4 linked regions of the Macaca fascicularis genome follow. The protein of the gene in region 3 binds, or shares a complex with, the protein of the main gene of each other region. Links are inferred from orthologs where the notes say so. Each region holds a gene or a part of one and is shown on either strand. Other genes may lie near its edges.

Region 1 (8,066 bases), on a different chromosome or scaffold from region 3:
AATTCTGTCATGGCGTTTTGGTCTCAGTTCCGAGGAGTTTTCTGACCAGTCAAGATGGGATCACACAGCACCCACAGCGTCACTGCACAGTCCCATCCTTTCTCCATCTGGTAGTGGGAGACTGCCTGGGAGGTGCTGGGTTGCCACTGTCCAGAATCAGGGACAGGTGCTGGCCCCAGTGATACCCTAGTCAACACCCTTCTTCTGGCTCAGCCTAAAAATTCCAAAAATCTGTCGTCTGCACCATCAATGTGCATTTCACCCATGGTTTTTTTCTTTTCTTTTTTTTTTTTTTTTTTTTTTGAGATAGGGTGTCTTGCTCTGTCACCCAGGCTAGAGAGCAGTGCAATCACAGCTCATTGCAGTCTCAACCTAGGCTCAAGCAATCTTCCTGCCTCAGCCTCCTGAGTAGCAGGGACCACCAGTGTGTGCCACCACACCCAGCTAATATTTTTTCTATTTCTTGTAAAGGCAGGGTCTCCTTATGTTGCCCAGGCTAATGTCGAACTCCTGGGCTTAAGTAATCCTCCTGTCTCAGCCTCCCAAGGGCTGGGATTGCAGGTGTGAGCCACTACACCCAGCCCAATTCACCCACTTTTTAGAGAAGATGTTGGGCTCAGAAAGATCTAGTGAACTGCATGTTTGTTGTCAGCTATGAAAATAAAGCAAAAGCATCAAATACTCTGTGAAACAGAAAACAGGTGGACCAGCTGGATAGTAAGTAAAATTCAACCAATCAGAACTCATCAAAGCCTTGAACCCCTGGCTGGGCACACACAGAGGCACTCACACCCAGAGATGAGTGTTCAGCTAGGCATCACAATGTTGTGACTGACCTGTGGAAGTGACCCATCCTGGACCTCAGTGGTCAGCTGGAAATGTGACATCCATGGGTAGTCATGAATAATAAAAAGTAAAATCACAAATTATTGTCATGCAGGAGACGATGTTGTGAAGTGGTTTGATGTTTGGATCCTGGCTCTGGGCAAGTCACTAAGCTACAGATTCTTGGCTGCAGAGGAGGATGATAAATGCAGTCCTGCAGGGTACAGTCCTAGAGATTCTAGGAGGTAGTGTTTATAAAGCAAGTGGTGGCTGGTGCAGAGGAAGTGCTGGTGAAGGGTAAACTGCATTATTAACAAAACTTCTGGACGGGCACAGTGGCCAGATTACAGGGATTACACACCTGTAATCCCAGCACTTTGGGAGGCCAAAGCGAGTGGATCGCTTGAGCTCAGGAGTTCAAGACCAGCCTGTGCAACATAGTGAGACCCTGTCTCTATAAAAAAATACAAAAATTAGCCGGATGTGGTGGCATGCAGCTGTAGTCCGAGCGACTTGGGAGGCTGAGGTTGGAGGGTTGCTCAAGCCCAGGAGGCAGAAGTTGCATTGAGCCAAGATCCTGCCACTGCACTGCAGCCTGAGTGACTGAGCAAGACCCTATCTAAAAACAAAAAATTAAAAAATTAGGGTATGCAAGTAATTTTTTATTTTTTTGAGACAAAGTCCCGCTCTGTCGCCCAGGCTGGAGTACAATGGCACAATCTCGGCTCACTGCAACATCCGCCTCCCGCGTTTAAGCGATTCTCCTGCCTCAGCCTCCCGAGTAGCTGGGAATACAGGCGCGTGCCACCATGCCTGGCTAATTTTTGTATTTTTAGTAGAGATGGGGTTTTACTATGTTGGCCAGGCTGGTCTTGAACTCCCAACCTGAGGTGATCCACTCACCTTGGCCTCCCAAAGTGCTGGGATTACAGGCGTGAGCCACCACGTCCAGCCCCCGACATGTAACTTCTGTTAGCTTCAAAGCCACCTCTGGGGCCCTGCACCAGACTATGAGCTGAAGGACACCCGTGCCTTTTCACCCCTGTAGCTTCAGCATCCTGGCACACTGTCTAGAATGTTCAGTGAATGTGCACGGAAGGGCATTCTGGCTCCAGGGAGTGAGAACTGAGTCAGCTCTGGGAACAGATGAGTCAGGCTGGTGGTCGAGGCATTGCTTTTCAAGCCCTTCATGTGGCTGGAAGAACCAGACAACTGGAACTGGATCAACAGGGGTGATGGCGTGGCAAGAGTTACCCCCGGCAGTGCCCTTCTGGCCTCACTTGCCTTCTTGGGCCAGGAAAGGCAAAGCTCACGGGGCTGTATTTACTGCCCACCCCTTCCCCCATCCCATGCCATTGGCTCTGGAGGGTCTGTGAAACCCTGAGTCTGGAGGAGAACAGTTGACCAGCAGGGCTGGCCCTCAGCATAGTCCTCTCTGTTCCCATTCACCCGCTCTGCCAGCCCCAGATCCTGGCAGGAAGGGAGATTGGAGGGGTTGTCTGGAATCAATCCTAGACCTTCCCTTGCAGACTTGCCCACCTGTCTGTGGTCTAGTGTGGAGATGAGGTCCAGGGTTTGGGAGGGGTGTGGGGACAGATGTCTGCCAAGGCACTGAGCCCTCCCAGCTGGAAAATCCTCTGAACCTGTGAGAAGAGAACACAGCCAGCATGGACACACCCTTACCCTTAGTCTCAGTTCCCACCAAGACACAGAGCATTTCCTGTGCCTTTTCCGCTATTTCACAACCTACTTTTTCTTGCTCACCAAGGTAGAGGCTTCTTCTCCTGCCAGAAGCCAGACAGCTAGCTCCAGCGTCTCCTGCTCAGCGCCATGGCCAAGACCCCTAGTGACCATCTGCTGTCCACCCTGGAGGAGCTGGTGCCCTATGACTTTGAGAAGTTCAAGTTCAAGCTGCAGAACACCAGTGTGGAGAAGGAGCACTCCAGGATCCCCCGGAGCCAGATCCAGAGAGCCAGGCCAGTGAAGATGGCCAGTCTGCTGGTCACCTACTACGGGGAAGAGTACGCTGTGCGGCTAACCCTGCAGGTCCTGCGGGCCATCAACCAGCGCCTGCTGGCTGAGGAGCTCCACAGGGCAGCCGTTCAGGGTAAGCGGGCCCAGGCTGCCTCCTCACCCAGCACTGAGGCCTGGTTGCTTTGTGGGAAAAGGGACCAGGAGCTCAGAGCAGCTCACTCTGACTTGGGGGTCGGGAGTCTCAGGTCTACCAAGATCCAGGTGACTTTAGTTCAGGAACGTCCCTTCCTTCACTCTGGCTTTTGGCACTGGGTTAGTAAACTTCCTTAAGGCTCCCAGTGGGTTTTAAAGAAGCAGGTCAGGGTCAGGAAAGGCAGGAGCTGGAGCACCTATTCTTTGAGACTTCTTCACTTCATTTATGATTAATACTCATGTCAGACAAACATCTCTAGGTTAGCAAAAAGGGATTGCTATGCAATCGTATGAACGGGGCTGGTATAGAATCTTTTCAGTGCTGTTCACCATGTTGGCCAGGCTGGTGTCAAACTCCCGACCTCAAGTGATCCTCCTGCCTCAGCCTCCCAAAGTGCTGGGATTTCAGGCATGGACCACCGTGCCTGGTTTATTTTTATTTTTGAAATGTATAATCTGGGTTTTGCTGACCTGTGTAAGATCTTATTTGAAACAGTTGTCCTGCTTACAACGTTTGAAAAGTACTATTTGAGGAATACATGGTGGCTCACACTTATAATCTCAGCACTCTGGGAGGCTAAAGTGGGTAGATTGCTAGAGCTCAGGAGTTCGAGACCAGCCTGGCCAACATGGTGAAACCCTGTCTCTACCAAAAATACAAAAAAAAGAGCCAGGTGTGGTGGCACACATCTGTATTCTCAGCTATTGAAAAAACAGAAAACAGGCTGATGTGAGAGGATCGCTTGAGCCTGGGAGGCAGAGGTTGCAGTGAGCCGAGATCACATCAGGGCCACAAAACAAGATCCGGTCTCAAAAAATAAAATAAGAGAGAGATAAATATGTAGCAACATCAAGCATGTTCTTACTGAATGGTAATTGACTGCCATTGTCTAGGAAGTCCTGAACTTTTGTTTTTGAAATGGAGTCTCGCTTTGTCACTCAGGCTGGAGAGCAGTGGCGCAATCTCAGCTCACTGCAACCTCCACATCCCAGGCTCAAGCGATTCTCATGCCTCAGCCTCCAGAGTAGCTGGGACTACAGGTGCACACCACCACGTCTGGCTAAATTTCGTGTTTTTAGTAGGAACGTGGTTTTGCCATGTTGGCCAGGCTGGTCTCGAACTCCTGACCTCAAATGATCCTCCCAACTTGGCCTCCCGAGAAGCTAGGATTACAGGCATATGCCACCACGCTCAGCTTATTTTTGTATTTTTAGTAGAGACAGGGTTTCACCCTGCTGGTCTTGAACTCCTGACCTCAGGTGATCCTCCCGCCTCAACCTCCCAGAGTGCTGGGAATACAGGTATGAGCCACCGTGCCCGGCCCGTTTTTTCCTCCATTTCTAAAGTTTAATATCCATGGGGATTCTCTCTCCTCTCCCCTGAATCTTGGGCCCTAAACGTGGGACAGCTTCATGACTTTGTAGCTGGTTGTCTTTCCAGAATATTCCACACAAGAAAATGGCACAGACGATTCCGCAGCGTCCAGCTCCCTGGAGGAGAACAAGCCCGGGAGCCTGAAGACTCCAGACCACCCCGAGGGGAAGGAGGGAAAGGAGGGGAACGGCCCTCGGTCGTGCGGGGACTGGGCTGCCAGCCTGCGGTACAGCCAGCCCGAGGCCGGGAGGGGGCTGTCAAGGAAGCCCTTGAGCAAACGCAGAGAGAAGGCCTCGGAGAGCCTGGACGTGCAGGGCAAGCCTCGAACCCGGAGCCCGGCCCTGCCGGGCGGGAGAAGCCCCGGCCCCAGCCCCTGCAGGGCGCCAGAGCCAGGCCAGGCCGAGGTCCTCCTGCGCAGGAACGCCAGCTCCGCGGGGAGGCTGCAGGGGCTGGCGGGGGGCGCGCCGGGGCGGAAGGAGTGCAGGCTCTTCGAAGTGTACCTGCCCTCGGGAAAGAAGCGGCCTAAAAGCCTTGAGTTCACCATTTCCACAGGGGAGAAGGCGCCCCCAAATCCAGAAACTCTCCTGACTGTAGAGGAAACGACAGCTGCGAATCCGGACTCGGCAACAGGCGCTCAGGCAAGGCCCACTCCGGATGGAGGGGCGTCTGCGGACCTGGAGAAAGGCCCTGGGAATCCAGAACATTCGGTCACCGGTAAATTGTGTTTTTTCCTACTTTATATCGGCTGCAAAGAAAGAACAGCTGGCCGGGCACGATAGCTCATGCCTGTAATCCCGGCACTTTGGGAGGCCAGGGCTGGAGGATTGCTGAGGCCAAGAGTTTGAGACCAGTCTGGTGAACATAGTGAGACCCCCGCCATGTCTATAAATAAAATTAAAAAAATAAAAACCCAAAGGTTGGACAGGGCGCCATAGCTCACGCCTGTAATCCCAGAGCTTTGAGAGGCCTGAACGGGAGGATCTCTTGACCCCAGGAGTTCCATACTAGCCTAGGCAACACAGTGAGACCCCATCTCTACAAAAAATACAATAGTAGCACTTGCCTGTAGTCCCAGCTGCTCGGGCTCACTTGAGCAGGGGGAGTTCCAGGCTACAGTGAGCTGAGATCATGCCAGTACACTCCAGCCTGAGCAACGTAGCAAGATTCCACTTCTACAAAACTAAAAAAAAAAATTAGCTGGGTGTGGTGGCACATGCCTGTAATTCTAGCTACTCGAGAAGCTGAGGCAGGATGATTGCTTGAGCCAGGGAGTTCCAGGCCTCAGTGAGCTGAGGTTGTGCCACTGCACTCCAGCCTGGGCAACACAGCAAGACCCCGTCTCTTAAACATTTTGGGGGGGTAAAAAAAGAAAGAAAGAACGTCCAATTGAAAAAGGCAGTCAGGTTTTATTCAGTGGCCAAAGAATAGAGAAGGGGAGCTCGCCTCTGCAGGCATCTGCTTGCCAGGGATGGGAGGCAGGGGGATTTTAGAGTCCCAGGAGGGGAAGGGAGGTAGGTAAGCAGGTCCAGGGCAGGGTTCCATACATGAAGGCGCTGTCCCCAGCGTGCTTTTTCCTACATCGCATGGACATGAAACCCTGGCCATCTTCTTTTAGGGGAGGGGCCTTTAGCCTTATAATGATGTGTAAATGATCTAAAGGTAACTGGAAGTTACCTGTTCCAGTTTGCACTGGTTTTGCTCTGAACTTCCTCTGGTTTTTGGCAAGGGATCAGGCAGCTCCAGGCCATCTGGATTTTTTAAAGCAGCTGTCCCTATAGGTAAAGAGACCAGAGAAAAACTGTAAAAGAAAAATGCCATCAGTTTAGAGGGGATTGAGGTTGTCCAGGTGACAATTCCATGCTTGTGGTGGGGGCAGCATTCAGAAACACACCTTCTTTTTTTTTTTTTTTTTTTTTTTGACACAGAGTCTCAGTCTGTCTCCCATGCTGGAGTGCAGTAATGTGATCACAGCTTACTGCACCCTCAACCTCCTGGGCTCAAGCGATCCTCCCACCTCAGCCTTCCGAGTAGCTGGGACTATAGGTGCTCATCACCACACTGGTTTTGTTTTTTTGTTTTTGTTTTTGTTTTTTTTTTTTGTACAAAGGAGGACTCGCTATGTTGCCCAGGCTGGTTTTGAACTCCTGGGCTCAAGCAATCCACCTGCCTTAGCCTCTAAAAGTGATAGGTGTGAGCCACTTCACCCAGCCTATGGAACACACTTTCTAATACATTGTTCGCTGGAGAGGAGAAATCACAGCATTCAAAGAGGAAAAATAGAACTGGGGGTCCAGGCCGGATGTGGTGGCTCATGCCTGTAATCCTAGCACTTTGGGAGGCCAATGGGGGCAGATCACCTGAGGTCAGGAGTTCAAGACTAGCCTGCCAACATGCTGAAACCCCATCTCTACTAAAAATTCTAAAATTTCCGGGCGTGGGGGCAGGTGTCTGTAATCCCAGCTACTCAGGAGGCTGAGGCAGGAGAATTGCTTGAACCCAGGAGGCAGAGATTGCAGTGAGCCGAGATCACGCCATTGCACTCCAACCTGGGCAACAAAAGCAAAACTCTGTCTAAAAAAAAAAAAAAAAAAAGATCTGGGGGTCCAGGGACCCCTGAGACCTGGGAGGGAACAGGACGTGGTATACTGCATAAGTCTTCAAATCCAGAAGTCCCTGGGTCTTCTGGTGAGAAAGGACCCTGGGATCTGGAAAACCTAGCATCCTTAGGAATAGTGACCTGAAAAGTACTAAAGTACTTCCCCCCTAATTTTCTTTTATCCCCACTGTATTTTTTTAAATTTTTATTATATATATATTTTTTTAGATATGGGGTCTCGCTATGTTGCCCAGACTGGTCTCGAACTCCTGATCTCAAACAATCCTCCCATCTTTGCCTCCCAAACTGCTGGGATTACAGGTGTGAGCCACTGCACCGGATCCCCACTGTATTTATATAATTGGGATTCCTGGGTGCCTCCTGGGGCCACTTTGTTAATCTGGTGCAGGCTTAGACCCTGAAAAATGCATATATGCACAGCTTCACAAATGTCACATCAAATTTCAGGTAGTTCTTGGACACTCTGAAGTCCATCTTTAGAATCCAAGGGGTTTGTGGACACCAGGTAGAAAATCTGGGGAAGACTGGTTAAAAATACTGCCTCTCACAATAACCTCACAGCAATGTGTCATAATGGGGTTGAGATTCTACCATTTGCCTTTCTCTGAGCAGAAAGGAAAGCCTATTGGCTAAAGTCCTAATTATCTACTGCTGAGGTAGTCATTAAAATTGTTGGGTTGTGAATAATAGAAACACCCAAATAACAGTAACCTGAACAGAAAAGAAGTTTGTGCCTCCTTCACATAAATGATACACAGGCAGTCCCAGGCAGATCCGTGGGCCAGGATCCTGGGGTCCTGCTGTTGCTCTGCTCCACCAAGTTTGTCCTCAAGCTCGTGCTCTCAGAAGGTGACGTCCTCATGCCAGGCAGCAAGATGGAGGAACAGAGGGGAATAGTATCCCTTAGGGAAGGCTCTAGAAATTTCTAGAAGCTGCTTGTGACCCCCCCCCCCTCCATTTACATCCCTTTGGCCATATTATGGTCAAATAGCCACACCTAACTGCAAAGGAGGCTGAGAAATGCAGGGTATTTGGGGGGGCAATGGGAAGAAAGGAAGCAGTCCTGTGGACAATTAATTCTAT
Region 2 (8,192 bases), on a different chromosome or scaffold from region 3:
GGCTCAGAGTCCCGGGCGACAGGAGCTTCCCTCCAGGCGCCGCGGCCCCCCTCCCACTTCCCCGACGGGACAGCCCGGCCCCTTCCTGTGCCGAAGCCGGACTCCCCTGGTCTCCTCCCGCACTTGGTTTTGTCTCTCTTAACACCATCGCCTTCCCGCCTCAGCCCCTTCAGGGAAGGGCAATGTGGACCCTGGGAGAGATGCGAAGGGGTGGCTGGGGTGGACCGAATAGGGTGTGGCCAAATGGGGGTGAACGTTTGGTAGTGGGGAGACTGAGGGCGGGGGGCTGAAGCCTGGCGAGAATGTAGGGAAGAATGTGAGTCCTGGTGGGGATCTAGGTCAGAGCGGGGGGCGCTCATTCTCCTCGTCTCTCCGCCTGGCTGGCAACCACTACTACCAGGTTTGAACTGTTCCGTGGGAGGGGGTGCGCGTGTGTATAGCTTTAGGAGCCATAGCTTTCCACTCCCGAAGAGCAGCTGGGAATCAAAAGGGAAGCAATGTCTAGGAAGCAACCTGAGTGTGTGGTGGAGGCAGGTATGGGACCTCATGATCTCTAAGAACCTGAGGGCACCGTGGGGGGCCTGGTCTGTGATCTTTCACACCCACTCATCCCTTCCCAGAGCGCTGCAACTGAGTTGAGAGCCCAGAAGAAAAGGGACCACAGCCTCTATCCCCAGAGTTTAGGGTTAGGGTGGGGTCGCCATCCTAGGCTTTAAAGGAAGCACTGCCCTGAGATTAGAGTGGTCTGGGGAACCAGGCCTCTGGGATTCCTTCCTGTTGTAGCCGGCTGTGCCCTGACCTTGTGTGCCAGGCCGTTGCCCACTCCCAGCCCCCAGCATCCCCGCTTCCTGCCATAGCAGAGTTGTGGTGCCTCCCTATCCCTCACTGGCAGCTCCCACCCCCATCCCAGTCCCTCCCGGCCCCTGGCTGAGCTCAGACTTTGGCTAGCATTCCATCATGTTTATTGACTCCTGGGGGACAGATCACAAAGTCAGTTTGTGGGCAGGCCAGACTGCCCTAGAAGGAAGTCAGGGGCCTCAAGGGGTGGCGCTCTTCCTTAACTCGTAACTCTTGGAGGCAAGCTCTGAAGGTGCTTTATTTTCCACTATGATTATACCAACCATGTGGCCCGCTCCAGTTTTCAGGTTCTTCAGGGCCTTCTTGCGAACCTATTGGTGGGGGGTGCTGCCAGCCCCTCCCCGTGCCCGAAGGTGCCAGGCCCCCTGTGGGCAAGGCAGTTGTCTGTTGCATAGTCAAATAGTTGTTGTCTCCAACTTGCACCCCAGAACAGTTGTGTAAGTTAATGAGTGGTCGCCCTTTAAGAGAAATAGTGATGGTGGCAGGAGGGTTTAGCTGTCAGAAAGGCCAAGTTGGGGGTGGGTGGGGAGTATGAGGTCTCCACCCCCAGCTTGGCCTTGAGTGGAGTGGTCGCCCAAATGACTGTGTTAAGGTGTGTCCTGTGCCCTTCCCTTCAGAGTTCCTCTCCAGAACTGGCTTAGCAGAAGCTCTAGAGAGTAGCAATTGACATTTGAGACCCTGATCTTTTTTGCTGGGAAGTCCTCTGGACTGCTGAAACAATGGAACTTAGGGGGCTCACAGAGCTGATGCTGTGGAAAGTTAGAAAACTCAGGGAAAAATCCAAGCTTCGTTGTGTGACCTCAGAGGGCTCCTTTCTCAGGGGGTGTCAGTTTTCCCATTTATGAAATGAGGTTGAGTTAGATGATCTTCTCCCCTCGCCTCCAGAAAGTACCCTGAATCTAGATATAGATCTGGAGGAGGAGTCTCATGGAAGAATTGAACAGGGAAAAGAAAGAGGTGGAGAGTGGGTACCTGTTACTGGATTTGGCTCCGGGGTCCTGGAGGACCAGTTCATGCCATGTCTCTCAGCGCCCTGCAAACATCACAGAGCATCCAGTTCTGTCCTGGAGCCTGGACCGCCCAGTGCACTCCTCTCAGCCCCAAGTTTTGCCTGGCAAGGGGACAGCATTTATAGGACTCTTAGTGCATCCCCTAATCCTGCCAATGTCTCACCTGATTCCCCTGGGGTCCAGGACTTGGTGTTCCAGTTGATGTGGGGCTGGGCATCTGGTTTCTGAAAGTTGAGGTCTCTGGAGTCTGGGGAGGTTGGGCCACTGAATCTGAAGATGTCCCTGCTGTCCTGGCTTGCAGAACCTGCTCCTCTTGTGCCCTGCTCCTCTTGGTAAGGCTCGGGTATTTTTCAGGAACAGAGCTGGGAGACCCCTCTAGATTCAGTTTGTTTAGCAGCTCAGAAACCATGACATCATTACGAGAGTGTTGGTTTCCTGTGGTTCTCCTAAAGCCATCCATTTCTGTCCCTCCTTGGCCTGACTCGGGGGTAGAAAATCTCGGATTGCTGCTCCTGAGCTCAGATAGGAAATTCTTTACCTGCAGGGATGGGAGGAGTTTGCTGGGTATGACTTGGATGAGCCAGAGTAAACCCAAGGGAGTAGTCTCTTGGAACTCAGGGGTGGGCTGGGGAGGGTGAGGACAAAGGTCAAGGCATAAAAAAGCTGTGGTTAATGGTGAGTCATTGGATGGCCAGGTAGCCATGTTGTGCCATCCCTGACCAGCTCCTGGAGAGGGGTGATGTTGGCGCTCACTGTGGAGACAGCAGCATTTATATTGTTCTCCACCATCTGGAAGGCTTCATCAGTTTTTGGTAGGCATTCTAGAGGGACAGCAGAGTGGGTTGCAGGTGAGCAAATCTTCTTTTCCTGAGGAAAGCCCCATGCTGACAGACCCAAGCTTACCCCAGATCCAGCTAATTGGCCAGCTCACCCTGGAAGGAGGGTCTGTCCTTGGGCTCACTGCTCCAGCAGAGCTGCATTAGCTCCTTCAGTCCTTCTAAGCCGGGAGTCTCAGGCCCAGCTTGGGGCAGCTCAGTCAATGAGGGCCGGGTCTGCCTCCTGCACACTGCTCCACACACCAGTGATGCTTCTGTTGGCACTGGAGTAGGGGAGGAGGGTGAGAAGAGAAGGCATTCAGGGTAAAAGGGAATATCTGCTCCATCATGGAAAGAGGCAGGGAGTGTAATGTGGGAGCACAAGGATGGAGGAGGGCAGTCTTAGTAGGTGAGCAGGAAGGGGAAGCTTTGGGGCTTTCAAGAGAAGGGCACCTGGGGTTAAGGATCCCAGAATCCGCCTAGAGTCTTACACTCAGCTTCTCTTCCAGCAAGCACTGCCCACATTAGGATCCCGAAGCTGCAGGAGACACAAAGCTGAGGACCAGTCCAATCACTGGCAAGACTCCTTTCCTATACATCACCCCCTGGGAGGGCCCAGAGAAGTGTAGGAATCCCGGCTGTGTGTTTGGGCTGGGATCCTTACCTGTAGACATCACTGGCTGTGGAGGCCTTCCGGTTTACATTAACAAACAGTTCTGGGGCCAAGTAGCCCAGGGTGCCCCCTGGCTCCCTGGATGCTGTCCCTGACTGTGAGCCTCCCTGAAATGTGGACAGGCCAAAATCTGCCAGCTGCAAAGGAAGGAAAGAAGTGGGAGGTAGGGAAGACAAGGGGGCCAGGCAGCCTCCAGAAACCCCCTTGCCCCCAGAAGGTTCAGGTTCAGCTTTGTAAAGGGAGTGTGGAGGTCAAGGGAAGAGGCTCCCTTGGATAGTAGATCTAGGTGCCTGTGGTAGGGCTGGGTCAAGGTGTGAGTCTCCAGGGCTGGGTCAGCCATGACTCTTTGGAGGGGTTGGTGGGGCAGCTGGTGGAAAGGACTCGTGTGGGTCGGGGCCTCTATCACCTGGTATGGCAGGAGCTAAAACTCCTGGCTGGGCTTTGTGCCCTGGCAGCCCTGTGTCCAGAGGGAGAGGCTACGCCTATTCAATAGACAGGGCTCTGGAGGTCTGGTGTCCAGTGGGCCTGGCTGGAGCTGCTCTGGGGTGGGACCTTGTCCTGAGGCTGAGAGGGGTGTAGAGCAGCTGACCTTGACGTGCAGCTCTGGGTCCAGCAGGACATTGGATGGCTTGAGGTCCCGGTGCAGGAGCACCGGGTTCTGGTTGTGCAGGTAAAACATCCCAAGCACCACTTCTTTCAGCAGGCGGCAAAGCAGCGGCCAGGGCCTAGGGCACTCGGGCTGCAGCAGCCGGGACAGGGAGCCGTTCTCCATGAATTTAGTCACCAGAGCCGGCTTGGGCACGTGGTCCCAGTTCACCTTCTCGATGACCCCTTCTAGGCGCAGCACGAATTCGTTATCCAGACTTGCCATGGCCTTGACCTCCCTGGATATCGCCTTCCTACACTCCAGGAGAGAGCTGGAGTCACCCGGGGTCGTGGGAAAAATCCCTCCATTCCCCATTCAGGCCCCAGAGCACAGTGGCTCCACCTTTTTGGCCAGATTGCGGCCGGGGGGGCAACAGGGGTCACTCACGAGTTTACAATCTTGACCGCCACGTCGTAGCCCCACTTCCTATATCGCGCCCGGAACACTGTGCCGAACCCGCCTCTGCCGACGAACTCCTGGTTTTCCAGTTCCTCGATGGACACCAAGGAGGCGGAGGCACCACTGGGCCTGAGACAGGGGTGTCGCCCACTAGCCGGCAGTGCCCTACGCCAGCGCTGCTCCCCGCGCCCCTGTGACTCGGCGCTCTTACTGCAATCCCCGGCCTCTCTCGCCGGCCCCCACCGTCTCCAGACTCAAAGGCGTTCTCTGAGCGAGTCCGTGGGGCGCTCTGGGTGTGAATGTCGGAGGCTGCGATCGACATGCCTCTCCCTACTCACCATAACTTGACGCACGACATCAGGCTGGAAGGTGCGAGGGGGCCTCTGGAAATTGCGAGCAGTAGGAGATGGAATGACTTCTGGGGCTGCGGTCTTTGGCAGAGAGGGGAAGGGATCTGTCTCTGCAGGGATCAGTCTCTAGACCAGGACGGTGACTCCACTTTCCGGGTTGCTACCCGTATTCTGAGTTGACTGAACAACTTCCCTTACAGGCGCCTCTACAGTCCCGCCCCTGGGGTGGGGCAGGGGGCAAAGCGAAAGCTAGTGTCTTTCTCCCTGACTAGCGTTTCCTGAGTGCCTGCCGCATGCAGCGGCCAGGTTAGGTGTGGCTGGGCATTGAGGATGTTAGGGAATGGGTCCTCACCTTCCAGGAACCCACAATCAACCCACTCCTACAGTCAAAGCCTTCTCTTTTCCCACAGGATTTCCTGCTCCACCACCTGCCAGGCCATGAGTGGAGATGGTGCTTAGGCAGGTTTTATGGTTTTAGGGCTCAGCTCTCTCATAGCTGCCCTAAGATCATAGCCAATGCATATATAAAACTTATCATGCACCAGGTACATAGATTAGCTTATTTAATTCTCACACGAACCCTAAGGGGATAGGTACTGCTTTTATTACCTTTCTATAGATGAGGAAACTGAGACACTGAGAGTTTAAGTACCTTGCCTAAGCCCATATGGAAATAATGGCTCTGAACCATCAAGTTATCCTGTTTTCACATCATAGGTTTCAGGGCTGTTTTCACATAGGTTTCACCTGTTTTCACATAGGTTGCAGGACCACTCAGCTGGTCCTGCAGGAGGCTGGGAAAGTTGTGAAGCATCCAACGATGTAGTGAAGGATCCCTATTTGTATTCCTTGGGACTTATATGTTCATAGGGACTTATATGCCCTATGAACAGGAGCTCCTTGAGCTGGCAGACCCCAAACCCACTCCAAGGGCATTGTGGTAAGGCTAGATATACCAGCCCATCCAGCGAGTTGGTGACATTGTGGTGTACACTGCAGTGGAAACAATTCAGAGCTTTCCTGCCCTCTCTCTTGCATGACAATTCTTGCATGCAAATACCCTAATTAATGTTCCTGACAAGCACATGCTCTGGACACAGGCTTTTGATAACCCAGAAGCATGGAGAGTCTTAAAGATTTAGGGCAGAAAAAAGGTGTCCATATTTTACCTTTTGGAGGTCTGACCATGACTGGAGGTTGTGGGAACCCGATAGGGCCAGCCCTAGGCACTCAGTCCTTCACAGGGATACTCAACCCTGTGGGTTGTGTGTTGGCTTTCACTAAAAGGGGCTCACCTTGGTACTTGCTTTCCATTTTGTTCAGCGGTCCATGGGCTCTTCTGGTTGAGGCAGAAGTGATCAGCAGTTTTTTCTAGAACAACTCCTGGAGAGCTACACCATGGCTTCTGGTAGGGTCAGCTCATGCTATTTTGGAGCTATTTAGGGAATTGTTCAACTGTAGTCTCTTTAAAAGCCAATACATGGCAGATACCCAATAAATATTTGTTGAATTGAATGAATAAATGAACAACCAAAAATATTAAGCCTCTTTTAAGGCACTGATCATCCTAGATGGAGCTCCATACTCAGTAGGAGGAAAGAGGAGATCGGGTTCCTATAGGGACTGAGGGCTCTCACCTGCACAGTTCATGAAATCCGTCTGAAGTAGGCTTTAGTATAGAGATATGGTGGTATCACACAGAATCCAAGAAGGCAAGAAGTGTAGCAGGTCCTCAGAAAAGCCTAGAGTCAGAAGCTGAGAACCATCAAAAGGGGTAGCCACTCCCTTTGTGATTCTTTTTGGAGAGAATAACCCAGGCTCAGTATCTCCACTTGAAGGAAGCAGGCAAAAAGGAGTTGGAAAGGTGTTATAACCGGGTTTCTTCAGATTGGTATGAGACCCTGAGAATCAGGGATAAACTACTGTGAAGCACAAAGTTGGGTGTGGTATCAGGGCCTATACAACTTTTTGACTCAAAATAAACAGCCCCTTTAAAAGAAGGAAGAGCAGGGAGAAGAACCTTAGAGTAAGTGCCTAACAGGACCCTCAGCTTCCAGCAAGGGGGTGTGGGGGTGGACCTAGGCACAGGTTGATTCTTGGAATTTGGAAACTCAGAGTTTGGAATAATCAGATAAAGAAACTAAAGAAGCTATTGTAAAATGTTTAAAGAAATAAAAAATAGAGTAGAGAAATAAAAGAGCAAGGCATTAGAGATCATAAACAATGTCCAGATATATTTACAAAAAATAAAACATCAAGAAATGAAAAATGTATGTAACCATTAAAATTGAAATTGTAGATTTTGGTTAAACAGAAGATATAGCTGAAGAACGAATTAGTGTACTGAAAGATGAATCTGCAGACATTCTCCAGAATGCAGCAAAGATGAGCAAATAGAAAAGTTAAGAGACAAAGAATGAGTAGGTCTAACATGTTAAATTGGAATCCCATGAGAAGAGAAGCGAAAAATTAAAAATGGGGCAAGGCAATATTTAAGGAAAAAATGACTGACAATTTTCAATAACTGATGAAAGACAAGGATCCATCTGGGCACAGTGGCTGACACCTGTAATTCCAGTGCTTTGGGAGGCCACGGTGGGAGGATAACTGGAGGACAGGAGTTCAAGACCAGCTTGAGCAACATAGTGAGACCCCATCTCTACAACATAAAAATTAAAATAAAAGGTTGCCAGTTCTGGTAATCTTAGCTACTTGGGAGGCTGAGCTGGGTTAGGGTTAGGGTTAGGGTTAGGGTTAGGGTTAGGGTTAGGGTTAGAGCTTGAGCTCAGGAGTTGGAGGTTATGGTAAGTTATGATTGCACCATTGCACTCCAGTCTGGGCAACAGAGCAAGACCCTGTTTCTAAATAAATAAATGAGCAAATATAAAAAGTCAAATATACACAAATATAGTTGTGCCAAAAAGGATAAATATAAAGAAATTCACTCTAGTTATACCTCAGTGAAACTGCAGAACAGTGAACACAAATAAACAACATTAAAGGTTAAAAAGAAAGCATAGATCATCTACAAAGCAGCAGTAACTAAACTGGAAATACACTTCTCAACAGCCAAGTAAAAACCAGAAGACGTTGAAATAATTTAAGGTGCTCAAAGACAGGAAAAGTGTTCCTGAAAAAGATAACTTTGGTGTGTATACAATTTTATATTTACAGACAGGTAAAAAAAGAAAAAAAGACATTTTCAAATAAATGAAAACTGAGTTTACTACGAACAGTCACTTTCCTAAAGAAGTTTCTAATGGATGTGCACAAAGAAGATTAAAAAAAAAATTATCCCAGAATGAACGCATGAGACACAGGAAGAAACAGCAATTTCCCAGTAAGTTTAACCATGAAACTAATTAACATCATGTCAGACCCTTAGAAATGAGAGACAGTGGCTCACTAATTTTTCTTTTCTTTTCTTTTCTTTTTTTTTTT
Region 3 (7,891 bases):
CCTGCAGCTCCGGCAACACCTCCGATCTTTCAGCTTCCCTGGGACTAAGGACCATGCACATTATTAATTCCGATATAAATAGTCACACAGACACATGTCTCAAGATGAGGGTGAGAAGTTGGTTACAGCAAATGAAGTAATAATGATCTCTGTGCTTCACAATAGGGATTCAACCAAACTGAGGTTTATAATTCACTTATTAACTCTTTTTATTTTTATTTTTTGTTGAGATGGAGTGTCCCTCTGTCACCCATGCTGGAGTGCAATGGTGTCAGTTTGGCTCACTGCAACCTCCTGGGCTCAAGTGAGACTCGTGCCTTGCTTGAGTGGCTGAGACTACAGGCACATGCCACCATGCCCAACTAAATTTTTTGTATTTTTTTTTTTTTTTTTTTTTACTTTTTTTGAGACGGAGTCTCACTCTGTCACCCAGGCTGGAGTGCAGGGGCAGGATCTCAGCTCACTGCAAGCTCCGCCTCCCGGGTTCAGGCCATTCTCCTGCCTCAGCCTCCCGAGTAGCTGGGACTACAGGCGCCCGCCGCCTCGCCCGGCTAGTTTTTTGTATTTTTTAGTAGAGACGGGGTTTCACCGGGTTAGCCAGGATGGTCTCGATCTCCTGACCTCGTGATCCGCCCGTCTCGGCCTCCCAAAGTGCTGGGATTACAGGCTTGAGCCACCGCGCCCGGCCAATTTTTTGTATTTTTAGTAGAGATGGGGTTTTGCCATGTTGGCAAGGCTGGTCTCAAACTCCTGGCCTCAAGTGATCTGCCCACCTCAATCTCTTCAAGCGCTGAGATTACAGGGGTAAGCCACTGTGCCTGGCCATAATTCACTTATCGGCCTTTTATATTTATATATGACATGACTGGGAGAATCTAGGGTCAGTGCCTTACAAATGGCACAAGTCGAAGCCCTGAGACTCTCACTCCCACCCTGCTCCCCCCATTCTCAGTACTGCCCCTCAGAGGCCTCCAGCAGCTCATCCATTTCTGCTAGACTGGGCCTGGGTACATGCCGGGAGATATGTACAGGGGCTAAGAGCAGAAACTCTTGAGTGAGACACTCCTGAGTTCATGCATTGGCCCTGCCATTTGTCAGCTAATTGACGTTGTATTTAATTGTATCATCTGTATGTAAGCCTAATAATTTGTAGCCCTCTTAGAGATGTTGTGAGCTTAAACAACATGGTAGTGAATAATTAATTAATTAATTAATTAATTTATTTGTTTTTGAGACAGAGTCTTGCTTTGTCACCCAGGCTGGAGTGCAGTGGCGTGATCATGGCTCACTGCAGCCTTGACCTCCCACACTCAAGTTATCCTCTCACCTCAGCCTCCTGAGTAGCTTGAGACAACAGATGCATGCCACCATACCTGACTAGTTTTTAAAATTTTTCTGCAGAGACGGTGTCTCCCTATGTTGCCCAAGCTGGCCTCAATCTGTTGGGCTCAGGCGATCCTCCTGCCTTGGTCTTCCAGAGTCCTGGGATTACTGGTGTGAGCTACTGCACCCACAGCCTATTTACTGAGAACTGTGGAAGGCCCAGGCACTATTCTAAGAGCTCCAGCTGTTTTATCTCCCACATTTTTGCTCAGGTAGGAGTTCCAAAGCTGGAGCTTGAAGACTCATATTTTTAGAAATTTTGCAGTGAATTCTGAGGTGGGTCAGATTGAGATTCATGGCTATGCATTCATGTTTAGGCGGTGACTAACTACTCAGGGTTTTAGAGACAAACAGACCTCATTCTGTCACTCACTGACTGAGCGGGGCCAAGTCTTTCAACCTCTCTAAGCCTCAGTGTCCTCATCTATAAAATGGGACCAATCATAGCATCCACTTCTGAGAACTGTTCAGAAGTGGAATGGAAATGAGCCAGTTTAGGTGGCTGTGTCTGGCATACACCAATGGTTTGATACGTATTAGCTTGTGCCTTTATTGGGCCAACTCCTTTTTGTTAGGTGACTGAGAAACCAAGGCCCTTCTGATCTTTATTCATCGTTCACTATTAGTTTAAATTTGTTGCTCTTCCATCCACATGATTCATTCCAAATCCTAAGTGTTGGAGAAAGGGAGTTAGTGTGTCATAGAAAAATCTCTGTTTTGGCCCAGCAGGACTGAGTTTGACTCCATGGAACTGTTTGAGCCTTAGTTTCTTCATCCATAACATGGGAGAACAATACCCTGAATTGCTGCAAGAATTAGAGATAGTTCATGTCAAGGTGTAACATACAGGTAATATGTTACTTCTGGTGTTCTGGTTATAAAATGTACAAGATGTGCAAGCAAAAGGGCAGAAAACCCTTTTTAAAAATTCATGGCTGGGTGTAGTGGCTCACACCTGTAATCCCAGAACTTTGGGAGGCCGAGGTGGGTGGATCACCTGAGGTTATGAGTTTGAGACCAGCCTGACCAACATGGAGAAACCCTGTCTCTACTAAAAATCCAAAATTAGCCACGCATGGTGGTGCATGCCTGTAATCCCAGCTACCCAGGAGGCTGAGGCAGGAGAATCACTTGAACCCGGGAGGCGGAGGTTGCTGTGAGCCGAGATGGCGCCATTGCACTCCAGCCTGGGTAACAAGAGCGAAAATCCATCCCAAAAAAAAGAAAAAAAAATTCACATGGGAAACAGAGGCGGATGGCAGAGAACAGGGGAGTGGCTGGGCACAGTGGCTCATGCCTCTAATCCTAGCACTTTGGGAGGCCAAGGTGGGTGAATTCCTTGAGGTCAGGAGTTCGAGACCAGTCTGACCAACATGGTGAAAACCCGTCTCTACTGAAAATACAAAAATTAGCCAGGCGTGGTGGTGGGTGCCTGTAGTCCCAGCTACTTGGGAGGCTGAGAGGCAGGAGAATCACTTCAACCCAGGAGGTGGAGGTTGCAGTGAGCCAAGACCGCACCACTGTACTGTTACATGGACAACAGACTGAGACTCCATCTCAAAAAAAAAAAAAAAAAAAAAAAAAAAGAGAACAAGGGAGGGTCTGGGGTTCAGAGCTTTGGGGAACAGACCTCAGTAGCACCAACACTCCAGGATCAATGCTACAAAGACACGGGTTACAACTAAACTGGAGAACATGGCCAAAGAAGGGAACTGAAGTGTCCTGGCTCAGCCCTATTTAGGGCTGTTTAGCTCTGTTTAGGGCTGAGCCAAGTAGGGCTGAGTCAGAACACTTCCTCCTTTTTTTGTGAACAGTCTACCTACATTTCAGCTACAGGGGTGGCTTCACCCAGTCCGTAGGGAGGGAGGAGAGGGCTGGTCTATGACTTCAGTGCTGAGGTTTGGATCAAGGCAGAGGGAAACTTCCTCTTCCCAGACCCTTTGCAAGGAAGAATGGCATATTACTTGTCACCGACAGGGGTTATGATTACTAAATGGAGTCAGTATAAATGCTTTCCAATAAAGCACGTCCAGCGCTCGGGGTTTTAGTTTTGCATGTCCATGAAATGTCTGCCACCTCCCTCTTCTGAATGGTTGGAAACTGGGCATCTGTTCCTTTAAATAGGAAACATTTCTTGTTCGGGTGAGTCATCTCCGTTCTGCTTTAGGAGTAAAATTTACCCTGCAGTTCATTCTGCTGTGAAGTTTTCTCTTTCTCTCGGAGACCAGGTTCTGCCCTTCTGCTGGAGGGAAGTGTTTTCACAGGTTCTCCTCCTTTTATCTCTTGTGTTTTTTTTTCAAGCCTCCTGAATTTGCTAGTCAACTCAACAGGAAGTGAGGCGGTGGAGGGAGGCAGAAGAGCCAGGGTGGTTACTGAAAGTAAAAGAAACTTCTTCCTGGGAGCCTGTCCCACCCCCTTCCCCACTGAGCACGTGGAGTTAGGCAGGTTAGGGGGCTCAGAGACTGCGATGGTGCCAGGAAAGGGTGGAGCGGGTGAGTGCCTGTTGCCGAGGTGGCCTCTTCAACAGGAAACCACATATTTTTGTTTCTTGACTTGCTCTAGAAACAGGGCTGTGGGGGCGGGGAAGAAGCTTGGATCTGCCCGGCTGAGGACACCTCTGGGTGCTGCCTGGCCAGGTCTCCTGTGGGGTTTCTCTCTGAGCTGTTGCCTCTGATCTTGCTACTTTTTCACTCTGAGCAGTCTCCATTTCCTCTGCTGCCTTTTTGTCCTCCCAGCTTCCCTACTGCCTGGAATACAGATACACAGTCTCCCTCCTGTGAACCCGTTTGGAGAGTCCAGAAAACTTTATCAATCCACTTTTTTTTCTTTTTCATTTGGCTCTGGGGCCGAGGGTTAAGTTCTTTATTCTGTCGAATCACAGTGCCCTGAGGTGCACAGACCGCTTACCCCTCTTCCGTGTCTTAAGGGTTTCCTTTTATGTCTCCACCCCCACCCCTGCCCTCCTGCCCTCTCTCTTGCTCCCCAAAGATAATTCTCTAATGTTTTGATGTGGATTCGTGAATTTATCTGTATCTTTGCAAAATGTATTTTTCTTTTGTATATGTACACTGTTTTTTAACTATGCCATCTCAGGCAAGTAAGTAATTCCTCTGTACCTCTGTTATCTCATTGTTAAATGGGATTAATAATGCCTTGAGAGGTGACTGTGAGGCTTGAAGGAGATAATACGCACACATCACTTACTACATGAGTTAGCAATTATTATTGCATATTAATACTATTGGCATTTTATTTTACTCATTCTGTTTCTATTTCTTTTTTATTTATTTATTTTTTGAGACAAGATCTTGCTTTGTCACCCAAGGCTGGAGTGCAGTGGTGCAATCATGGCTCACTGCAGCCTCGACATCTTGGGATCAAGCAATGTTCCCATCTCAGCCTTCAGATTAACTGGGACCACAGTCGTGTGCTACCACACCTGGCTAATTCAAAAATTTTTCTTCATAGAGATGGTGTCTCACTATGTTGCCCAGGCTGGTCTCAAACTCCTACGCTCAAGGGATCCTCCCGCCTTGGCCTCCCAAAGTGCTAGGATTACAGGCATGAGCCACTGTGGCCATCCAGGCATTGATGTTATCAGGCCACCTTGACCTAGCCCTCTCTGGTGAAGAGTCCTTTTCAGATACTTCATTCAGTCTTCTCAGCTATGAGTCCCTGCCCTCTGAAAGCTTATATTCTATTTGGGGAAAGACAAAAGGCAGTTTCAAAGAAGAGAGGTGCTTGATTTTCTTTTCCTACTTTTAACATCAGAAAACATTTCGTCTAACTCTCAGTATGAAGGCAATCTTTTGTTTACTGATCTGTCCCTAGAGCCCAACATGGTGAGGGCCCCAGGATTTGCCTCTTTGATAAGATGGTAAACCCATCTTGTGGCTGACTTCGTGGTGTCCCCAGCTACACTCATATACAAGGATCACCTTTGGTAAGATAGGGTTACCATCTTACCAAAGAGTTTTTGCATTTTAGAGGTTTTTCTTTTTAGATTTTTTTCATTTTAGAATTTTTTTATTTCAGAGTTTTTTTCTTTTTAGAGGTTTTTCATTTTAGAGTTTTTTCTCTTTTAGAGTTTTTTTTTTTTTTTTTTTTTTTTTTTTTTTTTTTTTTTTTAGAGTTTTTTAGGCGGCTGAGAGTGGAATCTGGTGACTTGGGGCCACAGAGATGCTCCTTGGCTAAACCAGGGGCTTTAGCTCTGAACGTTCACAGTCACCCTGAGAACAAAGATGAGGGCTCTACGATGTCCAATCTCAAGACTTCTCCGAGGTGCTCCATCAAGATTCATTGAATGAAAAAATTAAAGTCTTAATGATGAACCCAGAAAAATCTTTAAATCCTAAATACGAAATGAAAGTGTTCTTAGTTACAATCCAGTTCAACGTCCTCATTTTGGAATGTGGAAATGAGGCCCCAAAGGTAAAATGGCCCATCATAGCCAGGGGCCAGTGCTCAGGTGGCCAGATGCCCCGCCCCACCCTGCAGGCAGTCTCTTGGACCATCAGGCCTTTTTCCTCCAGCTTTAGAAGCTTTAGAAGGTGCTCTGTTCACTCAGGGGCAAGTGGTAAGCGTTCCCTCCCCTCTAGTGTTTGTGACTTAGGAGTTTCGAAACAGGAAGTACAGCTGGCTGTGCCCTTCATCCTTCATTAGACGTTTGCTCTTGTCTTAGATGCTCAGATGGCAGTGGAGAGGCCTGTAACAAAGGTGTTACCATCGTGAGAGTAAGGTAAGGATTTGCCCCTTTGTTAAGGTCAGAGGGGCCTTTTGGGAGAAGGCCTTTGATTCTGGAGTTTTTTAGGCTGCTGAGAGTGAGGTTGGGTGGCCCTGGGGCTATGGAGGTGATCCTCGTATGTGAGTGTGGATGGGAAACCATGAAGTTAGTGGAAGAGGTAGCAGTCCCTCTGAGAGCCTTGCCGAGGGCCGTGCAGTTTCCAGATCTTGAGGCCAGTCTGGCTTAGACTGATTAAGTGCTAGGAGTTTCTGAAATGCTGCCATTTACCTACTTGTATAAAGGCTTCATCCTGATCCCAGCTAAATTTGTGAAACAAAGAGTAGAAGCCAAAATTTAAATCTCAACTAACTTTGCTGCTACAGCTATCCTCCCACCAACACACATACCCACCAACATACACATTTGCCAACATAAACACACACACACACACACATACACACACCCATGTGGTCCTACTAATTCAATTATTTATGTTTTAAAGAAATTTAAAAAGGCTGGGCGCAGTGGCTCACACCTGTAATCCCAGCACTTTGGGAGGCCGAGGCGGGTGAATCACCTGAGGTCAGGAGTTTGAGACTAGCCTGACCAACATGGAGAAACCCTGTCTCTACTAAAAATACAAAATTAGCCGGATATGGTGGCGCAGGCCTGTAATCCCAGCTACTCGGGAGGCTGAGGCAGGAGAATTGCTTGAACCTGGGAGACAGAAGTTGTGGTGAGCCGAGATTGTGCCATTGCACTCCAGCCTGGGCAACAAGAGCAAAACTCCGTCTCAAAAAAAAAAAAAAAAAAAAGAGAAAAGAAAGAGAAATTAAAAAGATACAGAACAGTTCAAAAAACAATATAATGGGAAGACTAGATGGACAAAATCGGAGACCTGCACTTGTGGGGTTAAGCATTTACGGGTGAAGTTGCAAGTTTCATTCTGTTTGACAATGATGGGATTATGTGTTTTGTTGAGGTTCGGACACCTTTGCTGGGTTGTTAGAACGCCGTGGCTGCAGTGCCCTGTTATGGACACCATGTGCATGCAGAATGGATGTCTGTTAGGTTCGGGGGCAGCCCACAGTGTGAGGCAGGCAGCCTGGACCCGAAGGAGTGGCAATACTACCTCCTGGTTAGGGGTTTGGGCCTGAGAGCGAGTGGCTTTCAGGTTCTCTCAAGCTTCGGATGAGATGCAGGTTTCTGTTTCTGACAGTGAATGCGTGTTTTGCTTTTTCCCTACCTGTGGGGTAGTTATCACTGCAAGAGCTAGGACGCTGCTAGAATATTACTGGAGTGATTGTGATGAGATGGAATGTATTTGCAGTTTAATTGTGGCATGTAATACAGTGGTAGAATGGGACTCTGGAATGAGATGCTGGGGCCTAGATTCTAGCACTTCCTTTGTGAGGCTCTGACCCCCTCTCTCCTACAGTGGATTTGTTAAGAACTTCTGTTTTTGTGGTTTTGTTGTTATATATATTTTTGAAATGTTATTCTCCAAAAATGTTATGATTTTATGTTTTTCTTCATGAGATTCTTTCACCGCCTTCCAGCTGCAAGTAGAATGGCGTCTAAATCTTTGCGATCTGTCATTGAAGCCCTTGAGTGAGATACTTAAATCTGGCTGTGGCTCTCTCTCTTACTAGCTTATTTCCGAGCCGTGATTTTTCACAACAGAAAAATGGGGACAATAATGGTAGTTTCTTCAGAGGCTTTTAGTGAAATGAGGTTAAAAAATATTTTTATGTTTATGTGGATATATAGGTTATAAACATTTAT
Region 4 (7,435 bases), on a different chromosome or scaffold from region 3:
AAATGTAGACTATGTTTAATGTGAGTTAAGGGGGAGACCTAGGTCAGAGATCTTACAAGTGAGTTAAAGGAGAAATTTAAAAGGAGAATTGATACTACATTTGTGGATTTACCCTTAAATAATGAATTATGCACTAAGGTTTACATTTTAAAAATATATCTTATTATTTGAAATTATAAAAAAAGAAATAATTTAAATACATAAAAAATAGAATTTGGTTAAACAAAATATGGTATAGTCACAAATAGATTACTATACAAATATTAAAAATGCTTTAGAGAAATAATGTGATAAACTGTTATAACTGACTCAATAAAGGGAAAGGTCCTAAACAGATAAAAAATCTCTTTCTTTTTGGATAAATAAGCAGTTAAAGCACATACACAAACACACTACAGAGATATTTACCAACATCAATATTTTTTTCCTAGATGATACAATTATAGGTAATTTTATTCGCTTCTCTGTGTTTTTTATTTTTCTGAATTAACAGAGATAAGATACCTTTTTTGGTTTGTTTTGGGAGAAAATACTACTTTTTAAAAGCAACTTGCCATCTAGAACCAAATGGAAATACAGGGAAAAACAAACAGAGGCATAAAAAGTCAAGTGTAGGAGTCTCGAAGGCTGTCTCCGATGTGACCTGAAGCTTGGGCCAGTGGAGCTGGGGCCAGTAAGGGGCCCTGACGGGCAGTATAACTGACTGCATTTGGATCAATGCAGGTAAAGGTCAGTTCCACTGAGTTCCACTACAAAAGTCCTCTTTGGTCCATGTATCTTTAGTTGAGTCTTCCAGACTGAATGATGCACATTTTCATTACTGGTGATGGAATCACACCATGTATACTTGAACCTTGTTTTCTGAAAAATCCAGAAGTTTCTGGGCCAAACCCAGAGGAAATGGCTCCTCTAGACAAAGAGAATGAAGTATGTGTAATCAGTTTCTAGAGCTCACACAGCTATAAAATGGTGTAACACCTGCTTCACAGGAAATGAAATTGCATGTGTGGTGGATTCTGTGTTGGGCCTTTCCGATATTGCCTGCCGCTCCCTCAGGACTAAAGTAATCATTCTCATCAATGAGACTCTTCAGGCACTACTCTCTCAGCTAAACAGGGCCACCTCACCTTGTCCATGCAGGTGTATAAAGGGCTTTTTTACATTACTTTTAAAAAGCAATTTGCTGTCAAGAACTAAGGGAAAATACAGGGGAAAACAAACAGAGGCATGCCAGGCCGAGTGTAAGAGTCTCTGCAATAGATCTCTGATGTGACCCAGAGCCTGGGTCTGTGCAAACCACAGACTCCCCCACCAGTCTTGGGAGCCCTGAAGGGCATTCTCAGCTCCCGAGCTCCCTGTGGGGTAGGCCAAGGCCTCTATTGCAACTATATTGGACTTGACATTCTTCCTCTTCTACTCCTTTCACTTCCTCACAGATACTAATTCTGAAAGTGCTCTAAAATAGACTTCCTGTAAACAACTGTCTATCTCAGAGTTTTCGTCTTATAGAATCCAAACCATAACAGAGTGTTAATGTGTCCAGGCCCTGACAGAGATTAGAAGCTCAACAGGTGTTTAATCTGATTAATCAGAGGTAGTTCCTGTTTTTGTGACTCAGAGTGCTTTTCACACTGTGGCCTTAATTCCCTTATTTGCATGCTCTGAGATAAAGAACAGAGAACAATGTGGGAAATGACAGTGACAGTGATGCTCTTACAAGGACAAAGACCACTCCACTCTCCTCATCCTACCTTAACATGAGGAGAGACTTTTGGTGCAGCACGTTGCTTTGTGACATCATTTCTGACGGCTGCAGATGCAGCAGGACTCATTTCAGGTTGACTTAGTGGCTTTGGTTTTGTTACCGATTTGTATTCCTTATCAACTGATTAAAAAATGGAAGACATGGCCAATAAGCATATAAACATATGAGCAGTGCACATTTTCAAATGTCACCAGAAATAAATACTAAAACCATATTAAGATATCTTCAAGAGCAGTTAATTTTTCTAAAAAAAAAAAAAAATCTTGTTTTAAAATGAAAGAAACTGGACCTGGCACAGACACCTGTAATCCCAGCACTTTGGGAGGCCAAGGCTGGAGGATCAACCCGAGGCCAGGAGTTTGAGACCAGCTTAGTCAACATAGGGAGACCCTATCTTTATAAAAAATATTTTCAAAATTAGCCAGGTGCAATGTCACATGTTTTCAGTCTCAGCTACTTGGGAGGGTGAGGCAGGAGGATAACTTAAGCCCAGGAGTTCAAAGCTGCAGTGAGTCGTGATCACACCACTGCACTCCAGCTTGGATGACACAGTGAGACCTTGTCTGTCTCAAAAAAAAAAAAAACAAAAAACAAAAACAAAAGACAAAAAACAAAAGAAACTATGAAGTCTTAGTCTTAAATCGGTATAACACTTTGGAAAATGGTTTGGGACTCTATTTATTGAAATTCAATATCTACTTACCTTAACATCCAGTAATTCCATTCACAGGTGTACAGTCAAGAGAAACACACATACAAATACAAACATACAAAGATAAGTACATAAGGCTTATAATAAATATTCATAGCAGCATTTTTCACAATGGCCTCAAATGACTAAAATAACAATAAAAAATAGACCAATTCTCTCTCTATATATGTATATGTATATGAGTTTATATGTGTATGTAATTATCAATTAAATGGAATCTTATGTAGTAGTGAAAATGAATAAACTACTGCTATGAAACAAGGGCTGATTTCTTTTCTTTTCTTTTTTTTTTTTTTGAGGCAGAGTCTCACTCCGTCACCCAAGCTGGAGTGCAGTGGCCCAATCTCGTCTCACTGCAACCTCCACCTCCCAGGTTCAAGTGATTCTCCTGCCTCAGCCTCCTGAGTAGCTGGGATTACAGGTTCATGCCACCATGCCTGACTAATTTTTGTATTTTTTTAGTAAAGACGGGGTTTCACCATGTGGGTCAGGCTGGTCTTAAACTCCTCACCTTGTGATCCGCCTACCTCAGCCTCCCAAAGTGCTGGGATTACAGGCATGAGCCACCGCACCTGGCCACAGATTTCTAATTATGTTCTACAAGGCCTTGCCTTGTCCTTCTATCGAGGGGACCCCATCCTGCCCTCTGAAGACTCTCTGTACTCCAGCTACACTGGCCTTCTTTCAGTCCTCAAGCAGGTCAACACCTGCTGTCATAGGGATTTTCACAGTGTTCCCTCTGACTGAAGGTACCTTTAACTCCTATGCATTTTTCAGAGCTTAGTGCAAGGGTCACTTCCCTATGGAACCCACTTTGACCAACACCAACTCTAATTCGTGGCTTATGTTAATGCTCCTTTGACACATGCTGCTGAAGAACCATCTTCCTTTCCATTAGAGCATTTGTCTCAATTAATTACATTCATAAATTTTCCTGTAAGAAAAATATCTACTTTCCCTTTAGAATAGAAGCTGTATAAAATTTGGATTTGTTTTTAACACCTTGTTTTATCATAAGAACCTAAAAGCTTTCCTTGTACCTATTAGCAATTCAATAGATATTTACTGAATGGATGAAGAAATGGATGGATGGGTGGCATGTTGGCTCCTCACTAATGCCTACAAAATGCAGTTGTATACTTTGGCTGGGCTCCTCCACATCTATGGTCAGGTTATATGTTATTGTGAAAAGCCAACTCCTAGTCCTGATTTTTAAAAAGACCATGTAACAAGATGGTCGTGTTTAATGACTTAAGGCACTCTCAGGCAGAAGAGGGCCTGAGAAATTATTAGATGTCATTTCTGATAGAATTTGAACAACTCTGGGCTGAAATAGCAAGGCAATCACTTTGATTTTACTAAAAACAGAAACGATACTGTTTTATGAGGCAGTAGGTACTCTGTCATTACCTTTCAAAGATCAGAAAGTGGTTGACTGTCTGACAGGGATATTGTAGCAGGATCTCTGCTCTAGAAAGAAGTTACACTAACCTTCTAATGATAAGTTAGTTCCATGCAACTGGTTTCAGAAAGGTATGCAGATAAAGTCTCTTCTATGTTCACAGCATCGGCGAGAAAACAGCATCAAGGAGGCCAAGGGAATCAACCTACCGTTCTACCACATCACATCAGCCATACTTCATCTCACACACCGTGGTACCAATATTTGTGGACAAGCTTGTCTGCCCACTATAAATCTCTCATTTGCCTTAATAATCAGGTGGACATTGTTACTGATTATCTCATTTATCATTTTCAGCATTTTATTTTAATCTTGCAGGACTTCTGTAGACTGTGATCACATTTTCTCTTCGCTTCCTTTTTCTATGCTTATGAGTCCTTGTATTTTCTCATCTTGCTTCATACAAAAGCTTCTCCTCTCTACTAATTATTGCCTCTGTCTTCATTAAAGATTCTCCAGGTATCTTCTACCTTCCATGGGGTGAGGTTGTGAGTAGAAGAGCATATAGCACTCTACATGCAGACATGCCATGGCAACAGAGAAGGATCACTTAAACAAGAATGATAGTAACTGTTCAAAAAAAATGAAACAAAAGCTTTTCATACAATAATAGAAATAGCATGGACACACAAAAATTTCCTACATTCAAAAGAGGCCTAAGTATGTCCACGGATGGAATTTGAGAGCGATGAAGGAACTCAGTTGCCTTCTTGTAGAGCATGCAGGAAGCATACTTTGTGTTTTGTTGTTGTTGTTGTTGTTGTTGTTGTTGTTGTTTGAGACAGGGTCTCACTATTGTTGCCCAGGCAGGGGTGCAGAGGCATGATCTCAGCTTACTGCAACCTCTGCCTCCCGGGTTCAAGTTGATTCTCGTGCCTCAGCCTCCTGAGTAGCTGGCATTACAGACGCCTGCCACCATGCCTGGCTAATTTTTGTATTTGTAGTAGAGACAAAGTTTCACCATGTTGACCAGGCGGATCTCGAACTCTTGACCTCAAGTGATCCACCTGCCTTGGCCTCCCAAAGTGCTGGGATTAAAGGTGTGAGCCACTGCACCTGGCCCAAAAGCATACTTTGAATTCTACAACTGTTACATTTGGAGACTCTCATTTGGGACAGCCTCTGGATGATCTACTCCTGAGTCTCCAAGTTAGTCCCAAACTGGATCTTTTTTAGCTAAGTAGAATAACAAAATCCCAGAATCATTAGAACAGCAAAATGGGGAGAAGATTGTAGAAGGGGAAATTTTGTGCTATCCTGGTCAAAGAGAAGAATTAATTCTTGATTTATTGCCAAAATAGAAGATATTTCTAAATATCTCAGCCTATGTTTGCCAATAGATTCCTGTCTCATCCCAGATAAGAAACACAGGGCAGCTGGTTACATGGAAGTAACATGGGTAGTTACTGCCATCTAAGGGCCATCTTAAAGAACTACACCTTCTAACTTAAAGCCTGGGAAAACAACCACTCCTTTCTCATTAGTGCCTTAGAAACTACCTCACAGTTTACATCTGTATAGAATTATGGACCTACATAGTATCACTTATGTGGCTTCATTTAACCTTCTTATAAACCATGTGTGAGAAGCCATGTCACCGTGTTGTACACCCACAAATGCTATTAAAAGCTGTTGTAATCTTTGCTGTTACGGTTTTACTTTGAATCCTAAAACTGTTGCATTTGGAGACTCTCATTTGGGACAGTCCTGGAGTGATATGCTCCTTTGTTAGCTCTTTTTTGTTCTTCAGACATAAAGCCGGGACGTATCAATTGTTCTTAGTAAACAAAATCAGGAATTTAAACTAAATGTATATAATTCAGATGGAGATGATGAGTGATTTATTGAATGATGTTAAAAAAGTCTTTTTGCTGTGGGTAATTTATACTGTCACTGGAGATAGAGAGGAGAGAGAATCCCTGAAGGAGGATTCTCCCTCCCTGAAGAAGGAGGAGATCATTCCCTAAAGAAAGCAGCATAGTCTGGGACCATAGAAAGATAGGGACATGGAGAGAAATAAACAGACTGTGTGAAGGAAAAAAAGGTGCTCAATATCCTGGTTTACAATTTTCCAATGCAATAATTTATATTTTTGAGACTTCAGTAGAATGTGAGAGCATTACATACTGTGGAAATGGAGTTGGGAAAAGTTAACTTTGAAATTCTACATCCATATTCACTGTAATTGAACTGGAGACAAAGATGGGCAAGGAGAAAAGATGATAAATGGAAGTGGTCACCCTAAAGGCTGGAACAAGAGATGCAAACCAAGGCTGGAATGGATTTGTGGAATTTGTAACAAACACTTCCTACAAGTGATTCTCAGTAAAAGGGGGCAAAGAGACAGGTGCACTAAGTTAGCAAACAAATTCCAACAGTGTGCACTGGGGGTCATATCCCAGGGACGCCATGAAAGGAAAGGCCCAGGCTTGGCAGAGAAAGGGACTGGGCAGGTGCGGGACTACCACATTACCTTTCTCCTTCTCTTCCTTAAGACGTTTTACCAAAAGCATATAATTCAACTTCTGAAAAATAAGAATGGTCTTCTTCACTGCAGTCACTGCACCAGCATTTTGAATCATCAAGTTAGCTACTTGTATTCTGTTTGCGGTACGTAGTATGCCTGTGGCGATATTAAACTCGTCTGAAAGAAAGAACTTAAACCTATCCAGTTCCTCATCAGTGATGTTATCCAGGCCCGTTAGCAAGAGTATCTCCTTGTATTTACTCTCCATCTGACGACTTTGGGATCAACCTATAAGGAATCCAAAGCATGTAAGATTACAACACCAAAAGGGATTCTACATTCAAAATAAAGCAAGGTGAGCTATTAATATTTTTAAAGAAAAATAAACAAAATGTTTGCAGTAGTAAAAGAGATTTGAATGGGACATAGGTAAGAACTTCTTAAGCAAGGTGATCCCTATTCCTGGGAAAGACATCTTCAGAAAGTATACAACACCTCTGGAATTCTTAGAAAACAGGATACATCAGCTGGGCATGGTAGCTCACGCCTGTAATCCCAGCACTTTGGAAGGCCAAAGCGGGCGGATCACCTGAGGTCAGGAGTTTGAGACCAGCCTGGCCAATATGGCAAAACCCCACCTCTACTAAAAATACAAAAATTAGCTGGGCGTGGTGGTGGGGGCCTGTAATCCCAGCTACTCAGGAGGCTGAGGCAGGAGAATCACTTGAACCAGGAGGCGGAGGTCACAGTGAGCCAAGATCGCGCCATTGCACTCCAGCTTGGGCGACAAGAGCAAAACTTTGTCTCAAAACAAACAAACAAACAAAACACTACAACAAAAAGGAAACAGGATACATTTTCCTTTTATTTTTAAAATAGATTTATCGAGGCATAACTGGCATACAACACAGTGCATATATTGGAAGTATACAATCTGATAAATTTTCGCATATACATATACCTGATGAAGTGCAATTAATCAATTTGTTCTTTCATGGATCATGCTTTCACTGTCTTATTTAAGAAATC

What was found.
Region 1: CASP8 (region 3) and MEFV share a complex: the UniProt entries of both Homo sapiens proteins name them as parts of the AIM2 PANoptosome complex. The link is inferred for Macaca fascicularis from reciprocal best matches to the Homo sapiens genes CASP8 and MEFV.
Region 2: CASP8 (region 3) and RIPK3 share a complex: the UniProt entries of both Homo sapiens proteins name them as parts of the AIM2 PANoptosome complex. The link is inferred for Macaca fascicularis from reciprocal best matches to the Homo sapiens genes CASP8 and RIPK3.
Region 4: CASP8 (region 3) and AIM2 share a complex: the UniProt entries of both Homo sapiens proteins name them as parts of the AIM2 PANoptosome complex. The link is inferred for Macaca fascicularis from reciprocal best matches to the Homo sapiens genes CASP8 and AIM2.

What each region holds. Positions count from the first base shown.
Region 1 is NC_088394.1:4,045,483-4,053,548, reverse strand, and holds the start of MEFV (pyrin), read left to right. Parts: upstream 1-2,595; 5' UTR 2,596-2,655; coding exon 2,656-2,932; intron 2,933-4,432; coding exon 4,433-5,080; intron 5,081-8,066. UniProt on the Homo sapiens protein: Involved in the regulation of innate immunity and the inflammatory response in response to IFNG/IFN-gamma.
Region 2 is NC_088381.1:92,151,569-92,159,760, forward strand, and holds RIPK3 (receptor-interacting serine/threonine-protein kinase 3), read right to left. Parts: upstream 4,925-8,192; 5' UTR 4,760-4,924; coding exon 4,740-4,759; intron 4,531-4,739; coding exon 4,390-4,530; intron 4,256-4,389; coding exon 3,946-4,255; intron 3,494-3,945; coding exon 3,348-3,493; intron 3,222-3,347; coding exon 3,175-3,221; exon of another isoform or gene 3,137-3,174; intron 2,968-3,136; coding exon 2,800-2,967; intron 2,690-2,799; coding exon 2,622-2,689; intron 2,407-2,621; coding exon 2,032-2,406; intron 1,892-2,031; coding exon 1,831-1,891; intron 1,317-1,830; coding exon 1,096-1,316; 3' UTR 946-1,095; downstream 1-945. Other genes in the region: ADCY4 (adenylate cyclase type 4), read right to left, coding at 1-359. UniProt on the Homo sapiens protein: Serine/threonine-protein kinase that activates necroptosis and apoptosis, two parallel forms of cell death. Necroptosis, a programmed cell death process in response to death-inducing TNF-alpha family members, is triggered by RIPK3 following activation by ZBP1.
Region 3 is NC_088386.1:97,034,480-97,042,370, forward strand, and holds the start of CASP8 (caspase-8), read left to right. Parts: upstream 1-3,703; 5' UTR 3,704-3,850; coding exon 3,851-3,875; intron 3,876-6,062; exon of another isoform or gene 6,063-6,121; intron 6,122-7,891. UniProt on the Homo sapiens protein: Thiol protease that plays a key role in programmed cell death by acting as a molecular switch for apoptosis, necroptosis and pyroptosis, and is required to prevent tissue damage during embryonic development and adulthood.
Region 4 is NC_088375.1:102,013,265-102,020,699, reverse strand, and holds part of AIM2 (interferon-inducible protein AIM2), read right to left. Parts: intron 6,697-7,435; exon of another isoform or gene 6,695-6,696; 5' UTR 6,675-6,694; coding exon 6,413-6,674; exon of another isoform or gene 2,469-6,412; intron 1,886-2,468; coding exon 1,752-1,885; intron 910-1,751; coding exon of another isoform or gene 715-909; exon of another isoform or gene 404-714; intron 1-403. UniProt on the Homo sapiens protein: Sensor component of the AIM2 inflammasome, which mediates inflammasome activation in response to the presence of double-stranded DNA (dsDNA) in the cytosol, leading to subsequent pyroptosis.